Pelodiscus sinensis: one gene and its partner. The protein of the gene in region 2 purifies or fractionates together with the protein of the main gene of each other region. This does not show direct contact. Links are inferred from orthologs where the notes say so. Each region holds a gene or a part of one and is shown on either strand. Other genes may lie near its edges.

Region 1 (7,263 bases), about 43 Mb from region 2:
CCAAGATGTACTTTGGATCTGATCCAGTCCATCAATTTCAATGTTAATACATCTTGTACAGCCTGGGTGGTATACATTTCTTTAGTGACTTTGCTGGAACATGTTTACCCTTTAATTGAGTTTGTGTGATGGGGGAATTCAAATATTCACCCAGCATTTCACATGTAGATGATCTTCTGCCTTACTTTTGGGACTATGACTAAATAATATTCGTCATGATATAAGACTCCTCTTATTGTTATCTATTTGATTTGACAATTGACATCTTAAATTCAGTACACAGCACACTACATTTGTTTCCTCCTCTTTTATACATGAAAGTCCTGACATTTGCTAATCGGTTATTTCTGTTTGTAAATGCATTTGAACAGTAAAGGATATGAGCGCTACAATGACATTTTCTCACATAGGACCACTTCTGGTTGCATGCTATGTGTTGAAGGATTTGTGCTAGGAACTTAAATAAAAATAAATTAAGCGATTTCAGACTTATAGCTATGAATCCAGACAATATATTAGATTTTTAAAATACCATATAAAAGTATCTGAACATATAAAAATATGGTCACTCATAGTTCTGTGCTTCTTGCCTTGCGATTGTCAACATAATCTTATAACGTTTTGGTACACAGGTAATTATAAGGAAATACATGAAAATTGTAAATATAGGGTGGTCAAATTGAGTAATCCTTTATATAATCCCTACAAAAGTTTGTCTCCTTTTAAAAGTAGGATTAAATGTCCTTGAAAGGATACTTGCAGAATATTTCAGAAGTGATTCTAGACTTGCAGTGGAATCCTCATGCAATGTGTGTCTACTGACCCCTTATCTGAAGGTACATACTGGGCTTGTGATGAGGTCCTTTGGGTAGGTAGCAGACATGGATATTATTATTATTATTATTTTTTTAAATCTCACTTCAGTATGAGGAACTGAAAGGTTCAACAACTATTTGGATTTTGTTTATTGCTTGTTTATTACTGAAGCACCAATGACTAAGCAATGCTAATATTAAGTGGCAGTGTCTAGACTGGCAAGTTTTTCCGCAAAAGCAATTGCTTTTGCGAAAAAACTTGCCAGCTGTCTACACTGGCCGCTTGAATTTCCACAAGAACACTGACGATCTCATGTAAGAAATCAGTGCTTCTTGCGGAAATACCATGCTGCTCCCGTTCAGGCAAAAGTCCTTTTGCACAAAAGGACCAGTGTAGACAGCTCAGATTTGTTTTGCGCAAAAAAGCCCCGATCGTGAAAATGGCAATCAGGGCTTTTTTGCGCAAAAGAGCATCTAGATTCACATGGATGCTTTTCTGCAAAAAGCGTCTTTGCAGAAAAGCGTCTGTGCCAATCTAGACACTCTTTTCCGCAAATGCTTTTAACGGAAAATCATGCCAGTCTAGACATAGCCAGTCTGTGTTTTTTGTTTTAGAGCATTTGATATTCAATAGCTTTCAAGCAACTCTGCTTTTTATATATTAAAATGTGGTATAACTTGCAAAAATGTTTTAGTTGTAGATTTGCCAACCCTGATGTTACCCTCTAAGGTAGATTTTTGTATTCATAAATTTTTTCCATTTCAACAGCTGATTCTGATACCCACTGATCAGTGGGTTACATTTTGATTATGGCTAGTGTAATGTATTATGAAAGGCCTGACTCCCACACAATGTTATAGTCCTCATCTACAGCTCAAGCTGCCAGGACTGGTTCTTTCAGCTCTGGAAATCCCTGGTTTGATAGCAGCCATCACAGTGATCTTCGTATCTTCACCCACAGTATGGTGGGTATAGTGAACAACATAGCTCAGACCATATCATTAATAGACGTGCTACATAAAATATGTAATCTGCATTTCAGACAAAGCCATATGAGCAAACAGTTGCACAGTTTAAGTAGGGGTTTATATAGGTGCAAAGCGCATTAGAGGAGTGGAGCCTTTTTATTAACATCTAAAGTATTAAAACTGATTCATTGTCCATGCAGAGATATCTGGACAATTTCTAAAAGCATAAACTGTAAAGTAAAATTAAGACAATTTATCAATTTAAATAAATGGCTTTAAAGTTAGATCTTCCTGGGGTTTTTCAGTGTTTTTCATACGTCAGCCAGGAGGAAAACAGACCCTGAAACTATCCCACAGATGCTTTCAGATCATGCCCATAGTAAAACACACCACCTTCCACCCCACCCCTCAATCATTAATCTTACTTGTTACAATGTAACAAAATACGTTGGGGGGGGAGAGAGAAATCACTAGATCCATGTGGTCTAGATACAGGCAGGGCGAGGACAGTGTCCCTTCCAGGGTAGACGGGAGCTGGCTGTAGCAAACCCCGGCTGATAAAACGTACGAGTGCCCGGGCTGCCCTATGCATGACTAGACGGGGTTGCTGAGGCCGGACACAGCGGCTGGGAACGTCCTTTAAAAGTGATGGGCACTTCGAACAACGCCAGCCCGGGCTGCAGCAGCAGAAGGGCTGGGCTCGTGCGGGGCCTTGTTTCCCCCGCAACAACCTCCTGCCCCGCTGCTGTGCGCGGGAGGGCGGCCAGCCTGGCCACGTGGGGGCCCGCCTAGGGAGCCACGGCAGCCGTGCCCTGGGGGAGGGGGAACTAGGCCTACTCGAGACAGGTGGCTGGTTCACATTCTCTCGGCTCCCTCCCCCCGCCCGCAGTGGTCTCCTCGCGCCACACACCAGCGCGCGTTCTCCTCCGGCCCAACACGGCGCTCGGCCGCGTGGCCTGCTGGGAATCGTAGTCCCGCCCCTCCAGCCGCGCGGGGCTCCCGTGGCTTGGAGGCGGCCTCCTGCTCCCGCGATGCTTTGCGCGCGGCAAAGCCCGGCTGTTCCTGGCGCCGGAAGAGAAGCGGGTCTCTTTGGGGCCGGCCATCTTGTGTGGTGTCGCGAGCAGGGGGCTGGGGCCTGGGCAGCATCGGAGGAGGATCCCGCCGAGAGGGGCCCATCATGCCCGGACACCTGCAAGAAGGGTTCGGCTGCGTCGTCACCAACCGGTTCGACCAGCTCTTTGACGACGAGTCGGACCCTTTCGAGGTGCTGCGGGCGGCCGAGAGCCGGAGGAAGGAGAGCGGCGGCGGCGGCAGCCAGGGGGGCGGCGGCGGGGCCCGCAGCGGGCAGGCGGCCCAGGCTAACTCCTCTGGCGGGGTCGGCAGCGGGGGCCCGGGCCAGACTGGGGGAGGCGGCGGCAACAGTAGCGCAGCCAAGCAGCTGCGCAGGGAGTCGCAGAAAGAGCGCAAGAACCCGCTGCCCCCCTTCGCCGCCTCGGCCGGGGGCGCCGGCGACCGCAGGGAGGAGGGCAGCGGGCAGCCCGCCGCGCCGCTCAGGAAGGAAGGTGAGTGGGGTCAGCGGGCGGCGGCGGGGACCCCGCGGCTAATACGCCGGAGCGTGGGGCACGAGACATGCGGTAGCGCGCCCGGCCCTGGTGCGGGGCGCGGGAGAATCTTGAGTTCGAGCCCCGCCTATTCCTCTCGGGGAGGGCGGCTGTGACCCCTGATGTGGGGGCTCAAGTGAGCAACCTGCAGAGAGTCCTTAACCCCCTCGGGCCTGCTGGGGTGCGCCACGGGCTGCGCGTCCCTCGAGGGAGAAGCTGCCGTCCGCGGGCTGTGACAGCCCCTCACCCCCCCACACACACGGTCTGGCCGCGGAGGCTGAACTGCGGAGTTTCTAAGAGTCTCAGCACCTGCTCGAGCCCCGCAGAGACAACACCTGGCCCTGCGGGTGGTGGGGTGAAATAGTCGCGCTCTGGGGCCGCTGCATCTACCACGTGGGGGGAAGTGAGGCCTGTCTGTCGCACATGGCTATTGCGAAGGAAGGGCTGCATCTAAGTGGGGGTGCGGGACGGATGGAAGCTGTTCTAATAATTTTAGTTGCTGGAGGTGGGTAGAGGGGCTCTGGGTGACCCAGCTATCTGGGGTTAGGAAGAAGAGTGAGGCCTGCTAATGCTTTTATATTACCCAATACTTTTGGCCCCGGTGAATTGTACAAAAAGACATTTGATGGCTGGATGACCCTGTTAAGGACGAAGGTCTGGGTGGAGTGGCAGCCCTCGAGAAGGGCTGGCGCCCTTAAAGTGTTGGGATGAAAAATTATCAGTCGAGTCTGTTTTTCCAAGGGGAGTTGCATCACTTTTTTAAAAAGCAGAGTAGTCGCCTGTGTGTGTTTAGCAAAGCTGAACTAGTTATACCTGAGCCATGTGCGTTTTCAGTATGTTGTCTATCCCCAACCCTTAACTTCGTTAAGTGCTGCCACCTTCCACTGGGTGAGAGACTCAAAATGGTATTTTTTAATTTGTGGTGCATCTGTTGTCTTAATTTTTTATGTTTGGACCCAGTTCTTGTAAGATTCATTGTTGAATTGGGGTACTCACCTAACTGATAAGAGAAGCATGAGTAAAAGAACACTTGGGAAATATGAATTTATCAGATATTAAGCTTAAATTGCATCTCCCAGGATGTGGTCCATTGAATAGTAAATTTATCAGTTTTATTCTGGATTCTTTTCAGTATTTATAGCCTTTCATATTCATTCTGGAATATTGTTTTTTCCCCCTAAGGATGACATTAATTGGGATTGTGATTAATAAAATACATTGTTTTTTCAGATGCGTAATTACTGAAGCTACACTTATTTGAGTGTATATGGTAAACCTTTTTATGGACTGTAATAAAGTTTCATTTCTCTTATGAACAAATGAAGGTATAAAAAAGTGACCAAACAAATGTCTTTGACTTACTTTTCTATGGCTTGATCCTGCAAAAACACTTGCTTAATTTATCATTCATTGACAGATGACACATTTCATCATTAGCTCTTACAATACTTTAGAAAGGAAATAATTATAATCCCTATGTTACAGATGGCAAAACTGAGGCACAGGGAGGTTCCCTAGAAAGCCAGTGATTAAGGGTTATTTATGTACACAAACTTCAGCCCATGCCTGACTGAAAGATTGTGGCCTAAATTTGTAATAGTCATGTAATTTGAGTGTTGAATGTGCTCAGTAATATTTGGATAAAGAACTATTTAGCAAGCTAATAAGAATTACAATTTAACCAAAATACAATAAACTCTTAATATTGCTAACAAGAAGAGTTAAAATAATTACAGTACTAAAGATCGATACATTGCATTTCTTTTAGAGAGAGAAAGTACACTGCAATAAGAATGGCCATACAAAAATCCATCTAGCCCAGTATTCTTTGTTCTGACAGTGGCCAATGCCAGGTGCCCTACAGCAGTGTGTGTCAAGGTTTTTTTTTTTTTTATAAAGTACCCTCCTTATAACTTTTTTTTAAGTACCCCAGTACCTAGAGATTTCAGACACACAATTTTTTTCTACCATTGCAACACATTTGTTTAAACAACTTAAATGTAGCCAGGTGAGCAATTAATTTTTTTGGTGTAAAAAGTACAAAAATAATAGTGCTGTAAAACTTAAAACAAAAATTTAGTTTTCTCCAAATTTCAGTTGTAATGATGTATTCCTCAGACTTTTCTTGAGTACCCCTAAGGGTACTCATACCACTGGTTGAGAAACACTGCCATAGAGGGAATCAGCAGAACAGGCAATTATCAAGTGATAGCTACCCTCCCTACCCACTCTCAGCTTCTAACAGGCATGAACAATAGTTAGAACAATAATGTCAGTGTTTTTTGGGGAGAGGGGGAGAAAGAGGACTTTTGGTAAGAGCAAGACTAGGTTTAACCAAATATTGGTCGCTTTAACAAAGTACTAAGTAAAGCCTTTAAGAGAAATTGAGACATTTTTTATTATCTTAATGGACCTATGAATATTTTGCACAACAAAGTTTGTAGTTGGATTTTTTTCCTGAGCAGAGGAATAACATGTTCAGAATATACCAACTGATGATTACTAATCTAATAGCTTTTTTGAAAAACCAGACAACATAAACTTTCTCTGTCTTTCTGCATGAAATACACTTTTAACTGTGGGTAATACTTCTGAGTAAAGCTACAGAGTAGTAATATTTTGACCTTTGAGATAACTATCATAAGGGCTTTTTTGTTCGTTTGTTCCAATGAACAGTTTCCAGATGGAAAGAAATAGCTTAGTATTTCAGGGTTTCGTAGTAGAAATCTAGTAGTGGTAAGTCCATTCACTAGAATGATAAAGATAAGTGAAGTTTTAAACTTTGCACATTGTAATAAGGGAAAATTCACTCAGGTGTGTGAGCATCCCTAATTTTCTGTAGAACACAAATGTTTTGTTTTAGTTTAATTAGGGATGTCAATGAGTAGCCAACTATCCGATTAACCAATAAGCTGGGGTTTATTGGTTAATATTATTGACTACTTGCATTTCCCCCCACCCATTGATACCTCTGTATCAGAGGCAGCAAGGGGGGGTGGAAACAGGAGTCAGGAAAGCTGGCTCTCCCCCCCGGCACCACAGTGCCACCTGCTCCCTCCCCTCTGAGAGGCAGCACGGAGGGTGAGGGGAGGAAGGAAGAGGAGGCTGCCTCAGAGCAGCCCCTGACTGTGTGGCCCGAGCTCCACGTGAACAGCAGGTGCTCTGCATCTCCCTGAGCAGTCTCTGTCCACGGTGAACCTGGGCCTGTCACAGGTGGAGGCTGCTTTGTGATAGCAGCTGCTGTCCATGAGGGGGTTTAAGGTCCATATTGACAGGCTGCTCCACATCCCATGGAACAGCCTCTGTCAATAGGAAGCTTGGAAACCCCTCCCCCTTCTCTCTTCCCTCCCTCCCCCAGCCCCTGACAGGGGCTTCTGCTACCACACACTGAGGCCTCTGTTTCAGAGGTAGCAGCATGGGACCACAGGCAGCCGGTCCATGAGGGGAGCTGGTTTTTAAATTTTGATGGAGGCAGCAGTGTGTGATGGCAGGGAGTCCCCCGGATGTGGGACCAAGAGCGTGCTGGCTGCTGCCCTCCTCCTCCCACCCCTCGGGGACTATCGAGTAGTCGTATACCTGTAAAGATTTCATGCGGTTACACAATTATTCAGTTACCAGATAGTTAACATCCCTAGTTTTAATAGCATTTTAAACTGTATGTGCTGGTACACACAAAAAGTGCACACTGGAGCCTAGGGGGCCCAGCCTAGTAGATTTTGTGCTTCCAGCCCCACAGTGGGGCAGCAGGGGGGCTGAAGTGCCAATGTAGGCAAACCAATGCTGGGTAGGGGTACTGAGCCTTGGGGGCCACATCCAGGCCTGCATCAGGCCCCTGGACCTGAAGTTCCCCATTACAGTCTAAAAATATAAGAAGTGAG
Region 2 (7,263 bases):
AGTAGTACTCTCCAGATGCACAGGAATTGCCTGTTCTTACAGAACTAGCTCATACACCGCAGTTGTTCTTCTGATGCTTCTAAACTCCAATTGCCTTTTCTGCATCCCCAGTACTCTTGAAAACAGTAGCCTGGACAATGCATCTCCATCCATCAGGATAACCAATTTTACAAACTAAGCTACAAGTCTTAAAAGGATTTACCAGACTATTTCAGGCCTGCATCTCATGACATTCTTGCAGAAGCCAATACCTGACAGTTGAGTAGAAATTATGAAGACCACCCAAAAACTGTGCAATGTTGCACATACCTTGGATGGAAAAAATCCTGATGGACCCCTTAAAGGAGAACATTTTGTTCATGCAACAAGAATGTTTAACTGTCAATCTTTTTGTAATATCATGTATAATAGGCCATCAACTGCATAAATCCACAGCAACTGCATGCATTGTTGATACTGCTGGAAGAAACCAAAGCTACAGAAGCCTCACTAGTACCAATGAAGTCCATTAAATTAAGTTCCAGAAACAAATGCAATTTGCTTTCCTCGTCATCTGTCTCCACTGAGAGGGGATGATTGCAAGGTCTACCTATTTTTTCAGGCTTTTCTTGAACATGGCTTGAAAGGGCGGAAGACTAAAAATATTTTTACAGAAGGAGTTGTTGATTAACGTTAGTTCACTTGCTGAATTTCGTGTAATTATTTTACATGTACCCAGCCATCACATCAGTGTTTTTGTAAAATAAAAAAAAATTAAAAAATCAAGATGTATGCATCTCCATTCAGGATTTGAACATATTTGTGTGACCAATGGCAAAGCTGAGGAAAAAATTTCTGGTTCAATACACTGTCCAGCAAACTCCAAGCAGCGCATGAGGCCTTGTGGGGCAAGGGAAAAACCACAAGGATTATATTCTTATTTCTCCCTCTTCTACTTTGTAGCTACTTGAACTCATTGTGCAATTGATTTCAGTGATGATCAGAAAGAAAGGTCAAGATTTAACAACAAGTTTGGTTAAACACGCAAGGGAGCTTTTGGGTGCTTACTACTTTTGGAAAATCAGGCCACATATTTGCGAGCCCAACTTTTAAGACTTAAATCTTTAAAAAATGAGTGCCTACTCTTCATAGCATTTGAAGCCCACATTTCCAAACTTTTCAAAGATTGTAAATAATCATTATAATACCACCTAATTCTTATGCTGTTTACTGATGGAGAGCGCTATAAAGAGTTTTACAAAAGTAGTAAGTATCATTATCTCCATTTTGCACTTAAGACATTTAAAGCATTGGCTTGCAGTCAGTTGTTTTCTAGATATCAGACATTACAATCATTTTGGAATTCATGTGGGAAAAGAAATATGATAATCAAGACAACATGCATGGCTGACAAACCACAAAAAATTCCCAGTTTTCTAAAGGCATGCAATGCAGCACACCTTTTTCGCAACAGTGAGTCATGAGATAATGAACCTTACCACCATTAATTTGTTAAACTAGCAATGCTTCTCTTGGGCACTCGTCCAGTATCATATACGTAGGATTTGATTTAAATCAGCCATTGTTAAACATCTATTTCACCTGACACAGAAATCAACAAAATAATATCTCTCTATAATAGTCAGCAAGTACAGCTTCCTCCACAGCCAATACCTGCAGGGATCTGGTGTCACCAGACTGATGGCCACAAAGGGCACACTCTGCAGCCCCACTGTCACCTCTGGCTCACTCATTCACAGCCAGATGTAAAGGAGCCACCCCCAAGCAAAAGTCATCCATCAGTGGAATGGCCTCCTCTATGGTTAGGAGCCCACCCTCCTCCTTAGGATGGACCACAGCCCAGCTGTCAGTGCAAACCTAACACGAACTCCCTTAATGTTCTGCAATGGTTAAAATGAAAAGATTCAAAATAGAAAGTGCTTAAAAACAAAATCAAACACAATTACAGAAACTAATATTCTGGCAAGTCTATGTCTATACCAAGTCCCAAACTAGTGACATTTTCAATCCTTGCCACCATTTTCAGATTCCTTCCAAATATTCAGATAAATAAGAAAGCAATTCATTCAAAATTTTGGACGTATCTATTTCCTGAATTCAGAACTACTATAGAGTTCCAGACTGCCAGCATTTGTGACAGTCTTTATCTAGATAGCTGGTAGGTCACAGGCAACATGAGTTCAAGCTTCTCCAAATGGTCTCAGCAACATTTGTTCAAAACTGCCATCTTTAAATAATTTATGTCTTCAGCGTTTAACTCTGTTAAGCCTTTCAGTTAGCAAGAGTGGTGCTGGTCAGTGTCATGCAGACACTTACGCTTTGGGAAGCAGGCTGAAGCCATCATTATGGTCAGGTCTACACTACAGATCTAAATCACTAACTACATTGCTCAGGAGTGCAAAACATCCATAGCTCTGAGTGACAGAATTAGAGAGACCTAACTCCCACGTAGACAGAGCTGTGTCCATGAGAGCTCTTCTCATACTGATGAGATGATGCTACACTGGTGCAGCTGCGCCAATTAGAGATGTAAGTGACTAGTCAACCACCCGATAAGCAAATGCTTATCGAGTAGGAACTCGATTAGTTGCTCCCCCCACTCTTGCTGCCTCTATCAGTGAGAGGCAGCAGGGAGGGGAAGGAAAGCACGTGCCCGTTCCGGGGGGAGCCAGCTTAAAAATGGTTCCCCACGCACCATCTCCACAGGGGGCAGGGGAGGCAGAGGGCATCCGGGAAACAGCCTGAGCAGGAATTGAAATAGTCCCATGTACAGTCTGACTGCTGATTCTCTCCCTTTGAAATATACAAGAGCTGCATCCAGCTCTTGTACACTTCAAAGGAAGAGGCACGGAAGGGAACCCTCACCAGCCGGGGACCTTTCCCTTTTAAATGTACATAAGCCGCTGTGGTTCTTGTACATTTCAAAGGGAGAGGCACAAAAAGATAAGAGAGCATCCCCCTTATTGACAAATCAAGTAGTCAGTGGAAATTCCATCGACTACTCAATTAGCTAATTAATCAAATTTAACATCCCTAACGCCAATGCAATATTTTACATGCAGATCTCCCCTTTGTTTCATGGAACAGACATCAGTTCAGACCAATGTCAAACCAAAAATATAGTATCTTGTTTTAAATTAAGTGTTTTTTGGTAGAAAAACCAAGCGATTTCCTCCTTGTCTCCATGATTGTTAATGCTGCTCAAAGGTGTTTTATGGACAGCCATGGAAATCAGAAACTATCAAACAAGTGCAAGTGTCCCTCAAAATAGCCAGCTTAAAGCATCTGCTCTGCAGGAGCCCTTTGCAGGGCAGGAATAATAGGCTGAAAATTTCAGGAAATTCCCTTTGGTGCACCCAGCTCTTATTAACTTTAATAGAAACTATATGTTCACCTCAATTATTGATGTAAACTACCACGTTTATGGATTGACAATTTTTATGCCAATTTCTCTATGTGACAAAGAAGTGGACCGCAGTCCTGCCAGCACTCAAGCATGTGCAAAAAGTGTATTCATGTGTGTGTGTGTGTGTGTCTCAATGAGGTCAGTGAAACAATTAAGTAGATACCAGTGAAAATATTAAGTAGTACATAAGAATGGGCAGGAGGGCCTAAAATAAAATAAATCGATGTCTGAAGAGGAGAAAAAAAGTTTAGTGGAAAAAGGTAATACTTCTACATACCACAGATACTAGGCATCACTATAGTATAAATGTAGAAATAATCCAACTGTCATTTTACAATACAGTGATCAAAGAGGAGTCACTAGAAGACTTAGTGGTGAAAAAGTAGCACTGTCATGGACAGGAGTGAACCAACTTTTTTAACATAAATTGCAAAAATGAGTTTAATAGTTTGGCCAATTTTCAGTTTATCAGAATACTGAAAGCTCCTTTCTAGTTGATAAAATGTCACCAATACAATTTTTCCATAATGAGAAACAACACAAGTTTTAAAACAACAGCTCAGGAGAAAGAAGTGTATGTGTGTGTGTGTGGGGGGGGGGGGGGGGGGCAGGAGAATGATTTAATGAAATACCATTTTACACAAGAAATATCAGTTTTCCTATCTGTGGGCTCTCAAAATGGCACAGATCTCACTCAATATGGCCCCTGAAGACAAAACATCATTTCTGGGTATTCCCCCCAACCAATACAGAAGGGTAGCTACTCAGAGCTCTGTTTCCTGGCAGGAAATCCTTGCCCCATCTTTTAACTCAGTGAGAAACAAAGACAAAAACACTTTCAAGTTCGGTCGCTCTTTTTAGGCTTCCACTTCCCCGATGCCTGTCAATGTCCAGGCCCGCACAGAAAACGCGGGGCAGCTCACCCTGAATGTCCCCTACAACTTTGAGAGGCGCCCAAACGGGGTGAGCCAGGGCCGGGGGGAGGCAGAGAGAGAGGGGGCCTGTGTGTGTCTATACAGGTCTGAAACAAAGCCTCCGACGTGTGCCACATCTGCTCTGCAAATCCACAGCGTGTGGAGGCGGAACCCCCTCGAGGGCAGGGACCCCAACTTCCCATCTGCTCGGCGAGGCTTGCCCCGCCTCATCAGCAGGAGCGGGGGATAGAGTCTCCCTCAGGCCTCACTCTCCCCCCCGAAGAGGCACCCGCTGCCCCCACCCCAAAGGGGCCCGAGCCCCTGGGACTCCCACCCCCTTCCCGAGGCCACGGAAGCCTCCCCCTTCCGGCGCCCCGCTCCACCGCGCCTCGGAGACGGGGCACTTCGGAAACGGAGCCTGAGGCCTAGCGAGGCAGGGACACAGGCCGGAGCGCCCCGAGCCAGCCCGCGGCCCCGCCGGGCCAGGCCCCCTCCGCCCCATTGTTCCCCGCCGCCGAGCGCGGGGCCCGGACTCACCGCACGGCTGAGCTCCCCGCAGCAGCGACTTTCAGCTCCGGGACGCGGGGCTGGCCGCAGCCTCCAGCGCCGGCAGCAGCAGGGGCCGCCCGGCCGCCGCCGCCTCCTCCCCACGACCCGCTGCTGCTGCCGCCTCTGCAGCAGGGGCCATCTTGTGCGTCTGCCGCCTCCCCCCCGGGACCGCTCCTCCCTCCCCGGCCCGGCCTCGAGCCTCTTCCCCTTTCTCCTGCCTCCTCTTCCTGCCGCGCCGGGGCAGGGGCGAGCGGAGTCCCTGGCGGGGGGAGCGACCCCGCTACTGGGCTCCCCCCTCAGCCGCCCTTCTGGAGCAAGCTCACTGCCGCCGCGTCCCCCCCGCAACAACAGCCAGGCCCTTTCTGAGAAGGGGACAAGCAGGTGAAACCGCCTGGCTCCTCCTCTTGCCACACTCCCACCCCCGTCTTTCCGAAGGGGGAGGGAGACGAATGGGTGCTCCCCCACAAAGCTTCCTCCCTCCCAAACGTCACCCACGTTTCTGGGCGAGGGGTGGAGAAAGATGAATGGCTCCCCCCTTTCCCTCGAAGGGAGCCTTCCATAATTGGAGGCATCAGCTGTTGGTGTTGCAAGGCCGGTGCATGCCAAGTGTCCCAGCTTCGGAGAGGCAAGTCCTTGGTTTCCTTAAGTTGTGACACTTTTCATACAGCTGTTACCATCGTTTAGAACAAAGGTAAGAGATTTCTGGGTCCTCCTGTCCCCACCCAAGGATTTGTCAAATGATACCTGGCACAGCAAGCCTGTGACTATTTGGGGATTTTAAACGACTTTCCAAGCATTAAGGAAGCCTCACTGCATTAATTAGTTAGTGTGTCCAGAGTTCAGGAGATTTAGAATGCTTAGTGAAAGCTAAATATTATTGTTAACACCTCTGTTTTACAGATGCATAAACTGAGATGCAGAGGTTGTCACTTGTTCAAGGTCATACTAGCCATAGAAACCAATAGTCCTGGCTGCCCAGTCTTGCGCTATAAATACTGGACCCCTGGTGTCCAACCAGTTCTGAAGCAGTAACCACTATAGTGACTACTGCTGTAGCAAACTAGCCACACTCAATATGCCAAATAGCCACATTATACAAGCCAAATAGCCGCTAGTGTGTTGGACACCACAGTAAACTAAACAAAACTGGGATTCAGTCCTGCAACTGGCTCTGTGTGATCAGACCCCAGTGCCCATATGAGTCCCGCTGCCTTCTCTGGGGTCTGCAAAGCGAGTGGAAGGATCAGTACCTTGTACTACTATATCGTTTCACTCTATCCTTTTGGAAGGTTAATTGACTCACAATGTATTTTTAAAAGGGGTTTAAAACAGATCTTTATCCCTCCCCTTCTACAAACTGCTTTCTTACACTGGTGCTTTAGAACTATTATTTATATTATACCACTCCAGGACCAGAACTCTATAGTGGCAGACTCATAAGAACATAAGAACGGCCGTACTGGGTCAGACCAAAGGTCCGTCTAGCCCAGCATCCTGCCTGCCAACAGTGGCCAGCACCAGGTGCCCCAGAGAGGGTGGACCGAAGACAATGATCAAGCGATTTGTCTCCTGCCATCCCTCTCCAGCCTCTGACAAACAGAGGCCAAGGACACCATTTTATCCCCTGCCTAATAGACTTTTATGGACCTAACCTCCATGAAATTATCTAGCTTCTCTTTAAACTCTATTATAGTCCTAGCCTTCACAGCCTCCTCTGGCAAGGAGTTCCACAGGTTGACTACACGCTGTGTGAAGAAGAACTTTCTTTTATTAGTTTTAAACCTGCTCCCCATTAATTTCATTTGGTGTCCTCTAGTTCTTCTATTTAGGGAGCTAATAAATAACTTTTCTTTATCGGCCCTCTCCCCACCACTCATGATTTTATATACCTCTATCATATCTCCCCTCAGTCTCTTCTTTTCTAAACTGAAAAGTCCCAGTCGCTTTAACCTCTCCTCATATGGGACCCGTTCCAAACCCCTAATCATTTTAGTTGCCCTTTTCTGAACCCTTTCCAAGGCCAAAATATCTCTGCATAAATAGAACAAAAAGCCATTTTTCCCTCTAAAGAGCTTACAGTCTAAATATAAGACAAAAGACACAGTTCAAGGAATGCTAATAATTAGGCTAGGAAAGATTAGTTTTCTTTAATTAGTAAATAACACTTTCAGAGACTCTGACAGAAATATTTCCATCAATAACATTCAGAATTTACAGATACTAGGTAAGGTAAGAAAATGTTGCTTGAGAGCTTAGCATTTCTTTCAAGGATAATTACATTGTATATTTTGACATGCATTGTTGAAAAATTGTTTTTAATGGTTATTAAGCTTTAACCTCACTGTCTACGGTCATTACATTATACGATCCCCTTATAATTTCTCACAATTATGA

The links. The genes of interacting proteins can lie anywhere in the genome.
Region 1: the proteins of RC3H1 (region 2) and SERBP1 purify together in Homo sapiens (affinity purification with mass spectrometry, with the first as the bait; 3 studies listed by BioGRID). This does not show direct contact. The link is inferred for Pelodiscus sinensis from reciprocal best matches to the Homo sapiens genes RC3H1 and SERBP1.

What each region holds. Positions count from the first base shown.
Region 1 is NC_134719.1:19,452,704-19,459,966, reverse strand, and holds the start of SERBP1 (SERPINE1 mRNA-binding protein 1), read left to right. Parts: upstream 1-2,853; 5' UTR 2,854-2,961; coding exon 2,962-3,346; intron 3,347-7,263. UniProt on the Homo sapiens protein: Ribosome-binding protein that promotes ribosome hibernation, a process during which ribosomes are stabilized in an inactive state and preserved from proteasomal degradation.
Region 2 is NC_134719.1:62,191,506-62,198,768, reverse strand, and holds the start of RC3H1 (roquin-1), read right to left. Parts: upstream 5,010-7,263; 5' UTR 4,858-5,009; intron 1-4,857. UniProt on the Homo sapiens protein: Post-transcriptional repressor of mRNAs containing a conserved stem loop motif, called constitutive decay element (CDE), which is often located in the 3'-UTR, as in HMGXB3, ICOS, IER3, NFKBID, NFKBIZ, PPP1R10, TNF, TNFRSF4 and in many more mRNAs.